Yarrowia lipolytica: one gene and its partner. The main gene of each other region encodes a partner of the protein of the gene in region 2 in a complex. Links are inferred from orthologs where the notes say so. Each region holds a gene or a part of one and is shown on either strand. Other genes may lie near its edges.

Region 1 (5,471 bases), on a different chromosome or scaffold from region 2:
CCCCTGTGGTGAGTGTGCTGAGCACTTTCAGAAGCTGCTGGCAAAGTTCCCCCCACAAGTCTCGTCTAGAAACACTGCATCACAGTGGGCTTGTTACGTCCACAACCAGGTCAACGAGCGGCTTGGAAAGGAGATTTTCGACTGCAACAATGTCGGAGAACATTACAAGTGTGGATGTGCCGAGGACGAGGAAGGAGGCGAGAAAAAGGAGGAGGACTCCGATATCATGGAGCCCATGGAAGATGATTTCACGTTTGGTCTCAAGTTGGATGAGAACGAATAACGAAGGTTTTATATATTAATTACTCAGACATTGTGCTATCAAATGAACTGGAATTGTACCATTCAAAAGCGGCTATACACTGTCATGTCTACGTTTTATAGTGTGTTTGGATATGGGGGCGGTAGTTTCTTACTACATACTGTAGCTACTGTATAAACTCATATGCACACACTCTACAAGTTTCGTCTATTCGAATATTTATCGATGTATAAATTATATGGTACATGTACGTAGGTCAGGAGGCGTCTGAGATATCGTCATCAGTCTCAGATTCCGTCATCAGTCTCAGATTCCGTCATCAGTTCAGATCTCGTCTCGCCAACTATCGCTTCTTCTTTTTAGTATCCTTTCGAGCAGGTTTCTTGGCCGGGCCCTCGTAGTGGGAATGGCCCAGTTTGGACACGGCATAGCCGTTTGACCAAGAGCATACTCGGTCGAATTCATCATCATCGTCCCCGTCAACATCGTTCTCCTTCTGATTCTTCTCGTTCTCCTTCTTATCCTCCTTGGTCTCTCCATTGTCTTTGCCGTCACCACTAGAAGCACCATTCTGGTGGTCCTCGTCTGTGTTCTCATCCTTCACCTCCTTCTCGTCGTCCTTGATTTCCTTTCTATCCTCCTTTCTCAGTTCGTTTTCCCTGCCGAGATCCTCTAATCGAGACACCATTGAAGCCTTGATCTTCTTCAAGACAGACAGCAGCTCCTTCTTAAGCTTGTGTTCTCGAGAACCCCACTGGTTGAGCCACTTGATCAACTCACCCAACTCCTTAGGGTGCTCCAAGTAGCCCCACTTGGTGTAGTCCTCCAAGTACCCTTCTCCCTCCACTTCACGCTTGGACTGGGGAATGTCACCAGTAAGGCAAAACTTGATTTCCTCTTCAAACGGACCTTGGACCCAGAGACGGCCCATGGTGAATCCGGTACCTTCTTCTTCTTCTGAACCGCCGGCATCCTCAATACCATTACCTTCGAACCACCAGTACCGATTGTGGAACCGATCCTTGCCCAGAAGACGAAGCCGGTTCACATCTGCAAATCGAATCTCCTCGTCTTTGGCGTTGATGACCGCAATTATCTCCTTGAGAGTTTCCTGTCTGTCCTGGATCTTAGTCCTAAGAGTACTGAGCAGCTCGTCATTGTCGGTCTTTGACTTTTTGGATGGGGGCTCGGATTCCTCGTTGTCTCCGTTCCCCTCTGCTTTCTTCTCAAAGCCATCCTTGTCCTCGGGGATCTTCTTCTCCTCCATCTCAAGCTCAATACGCTTCACTTCGTTTTCGAGAACCCGAATGTCGTCAGAAACAATCTTGTACTCTCGCTGCTTGTCCACCTTATCTCGTCGAAGCTCAGTCACTCGACCCATGCACTCTTCGATGTACGCTCGAATTGCATCAGTGGGGTGGATGAGGTTGCACAGAATCTGGATGATTTTGACCTTCTGGGTAAAATCAAGGTCAAAGTACCGGTCACGTGCAGAGGCAAGAGATACAGGGGCTTTGGCAGCAGCCCAAACATCAAGACAACCGTTAATAAAGTCTTCCCAGGGCTCGTAGTAGGTGAGATTGTAAAGAAGACCAATGAGAATGACTTGCCAACCTCCATCCTTGAAGTTTCGACGTTGCAGGCGGGTCTTCCAGTCAACTCCCTTGAAAACAGCATAGTTAGCACCCTTGTTTTCAGCTCCAGGAGACACGGACTTGGAATTCTTTTGCTCCTGCTCCTCTTCCTCTTCCTCTTCCTCTTCCTGCTCCTCTTCCTCTTCTGCCTCCTCAGTCTCCTCCTTTTTGATTTGCCTGGACGAACGTCGCGTTCGACCCCTCGGCTCTTCCTCCTTGACTTCCTCTTCCTCCTGTTCCTCCTTCTTGACTTCTTCCTCCTCCTCTTCTTCCTCCTCATCATAGTCTTCTTCCTCCTCATCGTCACTGATGTCGTCAGGGTACTCAACCAGAAGAGAATCACTGTTGGTTCCCACAACTTGACTCAGGAGAGCACAATGAATCTCGTTCAACAGATCACTCTCACCCTCGTATCGAAGTGCATCAATAAAATCGTCGTAGGTGAAAGAGTCCAAAACAAGAACCTCCTTGTACACATTGATAAACGTCCACACTTCTAGAGACACCTCAGTCAGATCAGATGGATATAACTTGTCGAAATGAAACACAGGCTTGGGATTCACACCCACAAGACGGTGTTCCAGATCTTCCCTAATCACCTGTTTAGGGGGAGGACTTCGTCGTTCAGTGACCACTGATGCCAGAGCAGTAGCAAGGGTTTTGGCTCCCAATCCTGCTCCTCCATTGCCACCTCCGTTCTGATGAGATACAGGGACTTGGATGTCTCTTTCCTTGAGTCCAGAGAGTCCCCCTAATGTCCTTATGAGCGCGTCGGCAGCGTTCTTCTCCTTGTTCTCCATCTTCAGTTTCTGTCGCTGCAAAATAATGTCGTTTTTCTCATTGTCTCGAGCCTGTTTGGCCTTGAGTCGGTCTTGGGTACGCTGTTTTCGCAGTTCTTCAGGCGACGGGTTTCCTCGGTACTGCGTCAGGTGAACGGGCACTGTCTGGTCGATTCTATACTTTTCTGCGTACTCTGGACGCACCAGCCAGGGCGCTCCGTTCCAGTTCTCCTTCTTTGCAGAGTACTTGATGAAGGTCTTGAGGGTCACCTTAGTGAAGTTCTTGCGATCACGTGTCAGCTGCGTCTCGTCGCAAACGTACACCTTGTTTGGATCACTGACTGCCTCCAGTCTGTACTTTGTGGTTGCAGGTCGGACGTCTCCGGAGTCGAGAGTGATGCTGTTGAACTTGGCCTTTTCTCTAATGATGGCAGGGACCCTTTCGGTGGCTCCTGTGGCGGTTTCGATGATGGCAATTACGATTTCTCCAGGGAAGAAGTCCTTCTTGAACTCGCCATAGAGAGTATCAACGAGTCCATCTAGTCTGCTGATTGTGGAGAATTGAATGCGTCGAAGTACAGGTTCCTTTAGGTTCTCGGGGAAGGCGTCCATGATTTCCTTGGAGCCATGCAGCTCGCTTTTGAGAGCTTCAAACAGCGTGAGACACGAGTGGCCCGTGACCTCGCAAATGAACTTTTTCTGCTTGTAGAAGTCCATGCGGGTCAAATAGTCGTCGTAGTTGTTGAAGTACTCGCCCGTGGCATCAATCCACCACACTTCGTCATCTTCCTCGACGTAGATAGGTGGTGCAAAATGAATGGCTTTTCGCTTAAACAAAACCTGGGTTAGTAGCTGGATGTTGTAGATGTTGAGACTAAAATGTCGATCTGACGCGCTTGAGATGATGATGTACAGCTCTCGCGTCGTCTGTGTCTCTTGGTTTCAGGCTGGTCACTTACCATGGCGTGTCATGTAAATCGCAACGACGGGATTTGTGAATTTGGTGGAGAAATGGACAAGATGAGCGAGCCAAAATTACCACGCACATGGTTTGAGCTTTGCTGAACTTACATATAACTTACATACAAGTACAATATACACGCATAAACGCAGTCTCAAAGTATAATAGGAGCTTCGGTTTGATGCCAATATTAATCATAATGTGACAATGTAGCTTCATCCACACCGGACCTGTGGGTCGAACCAAGTATGGCCAAAAGTGCACGATTTTGTACTCATTTTGACCGCGCCAGTGAGCAGGAATCGCATGGCCCATCCCCAGTTGTATTTATATAGACCCATTCGTTCCCCCGACTTAAACCACAGCCACTTGCAACGTTGTACACAGTGCGCTAATCAATCAAAACGTTATAAGAGCATCGCATAAGAATGTTCGCAGCAGCAGGCCGGCAACATCTCAACCCCTTACTGAGCGGACATACGCCCATAGGAAGACGTTTGACAAGGTGGTGATGGTCTTAGAGCGGATATTTCGATGTGGTTTGTGAGCCTCTCGTCATCAACCCTCTTATCTCCGAATTATCTCCGACACTACTGTACTGCTGGTAGTACTCGAATAGATAGGGTTGGATTGGGTTGGGGCCTGAAGCCATACGAAGAGTGCTTAGTCTGGTGTCCATGATTAACTCGGCGTTTTGGATTTGATAACGTGCCTGTTTGTGTGGATGAAGGAGTGTTGGATTGGGTGTTTTCAGTATCACCATCTATCAACTGTACTCGTATGGTGAACACCCTTGCATCGTGTCTAATAATTGTATGGTATGTACACTACAGTATGTAGTAGGAAGCTTTCAGACACACTGGTTCCAACCATACAAGTCGCAAGGACATGTGATGCGTTTATGCTGATCCAACCGCTGTTTCATGCCACACAGCCCATATTCCAAACCTCTCATGGCATTTGCATGTACATCCTGTTCGTACTCGTGCCACCACCACCATATGGTACTGGGGGCTTCTTGTAGCTGTCCCAGCCATACACGCCTGTAGCTACGCGTGGTAGAGCCATAATTAAGCGTAGAAAAAAATCACCATACCGCAGCAGGAGCATGTTCGAGTATGTACAATACTGTACTTGAGTACTACTTGTACTCGTACTGTAATTCTACAATTATTCCTATCAGTATGTACACTGTACCCGGAACCTACACCAGTGTCTCAACCAGGTTATTCTCGCACTTTTGAACTCCCACCGTATCGAGTACAGTATCTGTACGTCATTATGAGGCTGGGAATAAATGCCGATCACGTGGCAGCAAAAGTTCTACACGTTTTGCCTTTCTTCCAATTGGGTGTTCCACACATTGCCCTCCCATCTCCCTCACCGCCCCCCTCGCACTCTATTTAGATTTAATTTGCGCCGTGGAATCGAACTCCCAACCTCCCGGTTCGGGCAGCTCATCGCTGACCCGCGGTACCTGAGTTACCCTACTGCTTGGCAATAAGGTAAAATATGTGCATGCCCCAACCTCGAATTGCCTCTTTGGGAAGCTGTATCAAAACACAATCCAAACAACTGTATTTGCTTGCATTGCATATCTATCCATCTTACTTGTGACATTAGGAGAAGAACCCAGACGATACTCCACACTCGATTATTACCGCGGGAAAGGCCACAACACACCGTATCCACCGCATAATCGAGATCCACCTGTTGCAAAATTCGCTGCGGTCGATTTATTTTTTACCCGGACTTGCTTATACACCCCCGCTGCTAGGCGCTCTTGATTTTGTGTCACTCAAATTTGCATCGTATACCATTTCTCTCCACCACAC
Region 2 (3,202 bases):
CGATATCGCCATCAAGTCGGAGGACGACAACCCGTCGAGCTCCAAGATTACCAAAAGGCCTTGAGCTGTCGATCTGACCATTACCATTAAGTACAAGCTGCCTTATTTGGTGGAACTCGTCAGCTCGCTCTTGGGATGACAAACAGGCTCGAGTCACCGGAAAGAGACCAGAACATATAGTCTGGTCGTGCTGTACGACGCGAATCAAGACATGCTCATTATTCAATATGGGCAACTGTCCAGATCTTTTACATCGTGGGTTCTGGCAATGACAACGGGGCATCTAAGACACCCCCGCCCCAAGTGCACGGCAGTAGGCTTGCTGTGTATCAAATAAATGTGCATGTATTGATGCCGTTGCGGCATGTATGTAAGTGGTTATTATCGTGCGATAACGTATGTGTCGGTTGTGCTTTTGCGCCAGGTGGAGAGTGTGTTTTGACTGCAATCAGGGCTTTCTGCTTGTGACCTTGACCACACGTAGCTGCGTGTTGAGTATGTTCGCATCTTTCAGTATGGCATCTAAATGTCCTGTTGCCACGTTGTCCTTCTCGTCTTCTACTCATCAGTTCTAATTCTTTTGTTGCCCTCTTCCTCTGTCGCCTCGGTTTCCGACTCTGAGCTGGAAATATGGTCCTGGTCGTCCTGGGCGCGTACAACCTTGTCCTTCTTCCTTTGTGCAACTTCCTGTTCGAACTCGTTGACACTCTGGGTCACACTGGGCACAAACTGAGCCAGATCAACGTCCTTAAGGGCCACGAAAACGTCCTGGGGCGTTATCTTCTTTCGGCCTCCAGCCTCGGCCGACGCGTTTCCGTGGCTCGCCATGTACGACACAAACAGCGTGGCAGCTCGCTGGATGGCCGTCAACGCGTCCTTGGAAATGATGGCGTCATCTGGCAGTGTCTCCTTGGCCAGATTCTTGATGGTTGATTTGGGGTACAGGAGATCGTCGATCGAGTACTTTTGCTTGGCCTGTATCGTGTTACCGGCCGAGTTGACGGGTCGGAAGTCGCCGTCGGCGGTTTTTTTGTGTCCTTTGGGCGGCATTGTGGAAGTGACGGTGTGAGGTGTGGTTGATGGACGAACAGAGATGTTGGCGCATCAGCTGTATCGTGTTGCGTCACGTAATTTAAATTGGCCTGTTTTTGGCGAGTTTATTTGTTTTTTCAGGATTGTTGTGGGAATTGGGGAATAATGGGGGAAAAAAGATGTCCTTGGCACGAGACAAAATAAGCGGTATTAAAACGGGTTATATGATGTATCCAGTAGGAATACAGGAACAATGTACGATACGAGTGCGAGTACGAATGCCGCACTACATAACACATTGTACTTGTACCCTTGTCCAGAAGTGAAGGCAACTACCGATACACAGTATGTACGTACTTTACGATACTTGAATCAACATCTACTTTGAATGTTATATTTTCGATTCGAAAACTACATTGATGAAACACAGATATCTACTCGTATGTACATACTTGACTCAGTGATTGTGTTTTTGTGACTCGATCTGATTTCTTCTCTGTGACTTGATATGATTTCTTCTGATTTTCCGAAAACATTCAAAAAAGTCATCATATAATCACTAGATTCTGTTAAACGAATCAACTGATTAAAAAAAAGTGCACCACTCCTGACCACGATCGCCGACCTCTTCATACTACTTGCCAAATACCCCACGACGCTCATTTCTGGACACCTCCCTTGGACACCTCCCTTTTCCCTTTCCATTGGTTGCTGAAAAAGCCTTACGTAACACCCAGCGTAAGTGTTCGTATTGTCCATCAAAAATTCAAAAACCTTCTAATTATCGTACATAGTTGAACAAGTACACTCCACTACAATCTCTATAACTTGCCCAAAAATGCACGAAACAGACCAATTTTTCAACTCTAGTGTCATCCGCTCCCAGTCTAAGCCCTCTGAAACACATCCCCCTCACCCACTCCTCAAATTGAACCGCATTGTTGGGGGATCCGAAATCTTATTTTGAGTAGTCCTGTTTATCCGAAATTTAGTCGGATGAATATATACACTGTATTTTAAACGAGTTTTTACTCCAACTCGTATTGTATAATATTGTAGTTGTAAAAGAATTCAAGTTCAAATACCATGAAGACGTGTTGATCAATTCAAGCCAATTGACCCTCAATTCCTCTACCACACCCTCCAAACAACCTCTCCAGACAAGTCCCCCTTGTCATATTATTTGCTACTTGTATTGCATGGCACGGCACAGGCTGGATTTCGTGTTTTCATTTGTTCTTTTTTTTTTTTGCCTTCCTCACAATTTAAGCAAATAAAATAGCCTCAAAGTGTGCAAGTCTGGTGACAAGCCACACGTTAACGGATAGTGGCCCTTGATGACCAATCAGACAAGGTGTTCAAATAGCAAGTAACGGGTGAAGTGTGGCCGAGGAGCCGGTGTTTGTGCCATGTGTCGTCTTCATTTCTGCTTAATAAGCACGTTTCTGTAGCTTGCTCTTTTGATTTACCGGAAATATGTGTGGATTCGGCTTTCTGCGGCTTCCTTCTATTCCCGCTCTCGAGAACAATAGGCTTAAGTTGGTGTTTTCAAGAAATGCATATAAGATGACGAAAAAGATGTGTAGAAACTTAACAATGTATTTCATTGTGTTTACCATCGTTTCAATGATTTATTCTTTTTTTTTTCCCCGACGTTTTCCCTATTATTGGGTATTTAATTTCAGTTATATTCCCCGTCCTACCCGCTCCAGATCACCGTTATGCAAGGTTAACTTTGCTGGTCAAAATCTGACACTAGTAATCTGTAACAACACAGAAACGTGCGGTATTGGTTCACCGACCTCGAAAATGAATATTCTGCTCATCGACTCGTACGACTCGTTCACCTTCAACCTCACCACGCTGATTGAAAAGGCCGTGCCCGGATCCCGGGTCATTACCATTCACAACGACTCGCTGCCGGCTTCTGAGTTGGTTGACAAGTATCTCAGTGTGTTTGACGCAGTAGTTGTTGGACCCGGTCCAGGCTGTCCTCAGAACTCCGCCGATGTCGGATGTGTGCCCCAGATCTACTCTAACAACAAGAACGTGATTGTGCCTACTCTGGGAGTGTGTTTGGGCTTCCAGTCTCTGTGTTTGGGTAACGGGCTCAATGTGGACCGACTGAAGCTCGTCAAACACGGCCAGGTGGCCCAGATCACCCACAATG

Evidence for each region.
Region 1: YALI1_A05473g (region 2) and YALI1_C31848g share a complex: the UniProt entries of both Saccharomyces cerevisiae proteins name them as parts of the ISW2 complex. The link is inferred for Yarrowia lipolytica from reciprocal best matches to the Saccharomyces cerevisiae genes DPB4 and ITC1.

Annotation. Positions count from the first base shown.
Region 1 is NC_090772.1:3,183,010-3,188,480, reverse strand, and holds YALI1_C31848g (uncharacterized protein), read right to left. Parts: upstream 3,638-5,471; coding exon 3,635-3,637; intron 3,516-3,634; coding exon 606-3,515; downstream 1-605. Other genes in the region: YALI1_C31888g (uncharacterized protein), read left to right, coding at 1-283. UniProt on the Saccharomyces cerevisiae protein: Functions as a component of the ISW2 complex, which acts in remodeling the chromatin by catalyzing an ATP-dependent alteration in the structure of nucleosomal DNA.
Region 2 is NC_090770.1:545,230-548,431, reverse strand, and holds YALI1_A05473g (uncharacterized protein), read right to left. Parts: upstream 1,051-3,202; coding exon 559-1,050; downstream 1-558. Other genes in the region: YALI1_A05459g (uncharacterized protein), read left to right, coding at 2,509-3,202. UniProt on the Saccharomyces cerevisiae protein: As accessory component of the DNA polymerase epsilon (DNA polymerase II) participates in chromosomal DNA replication.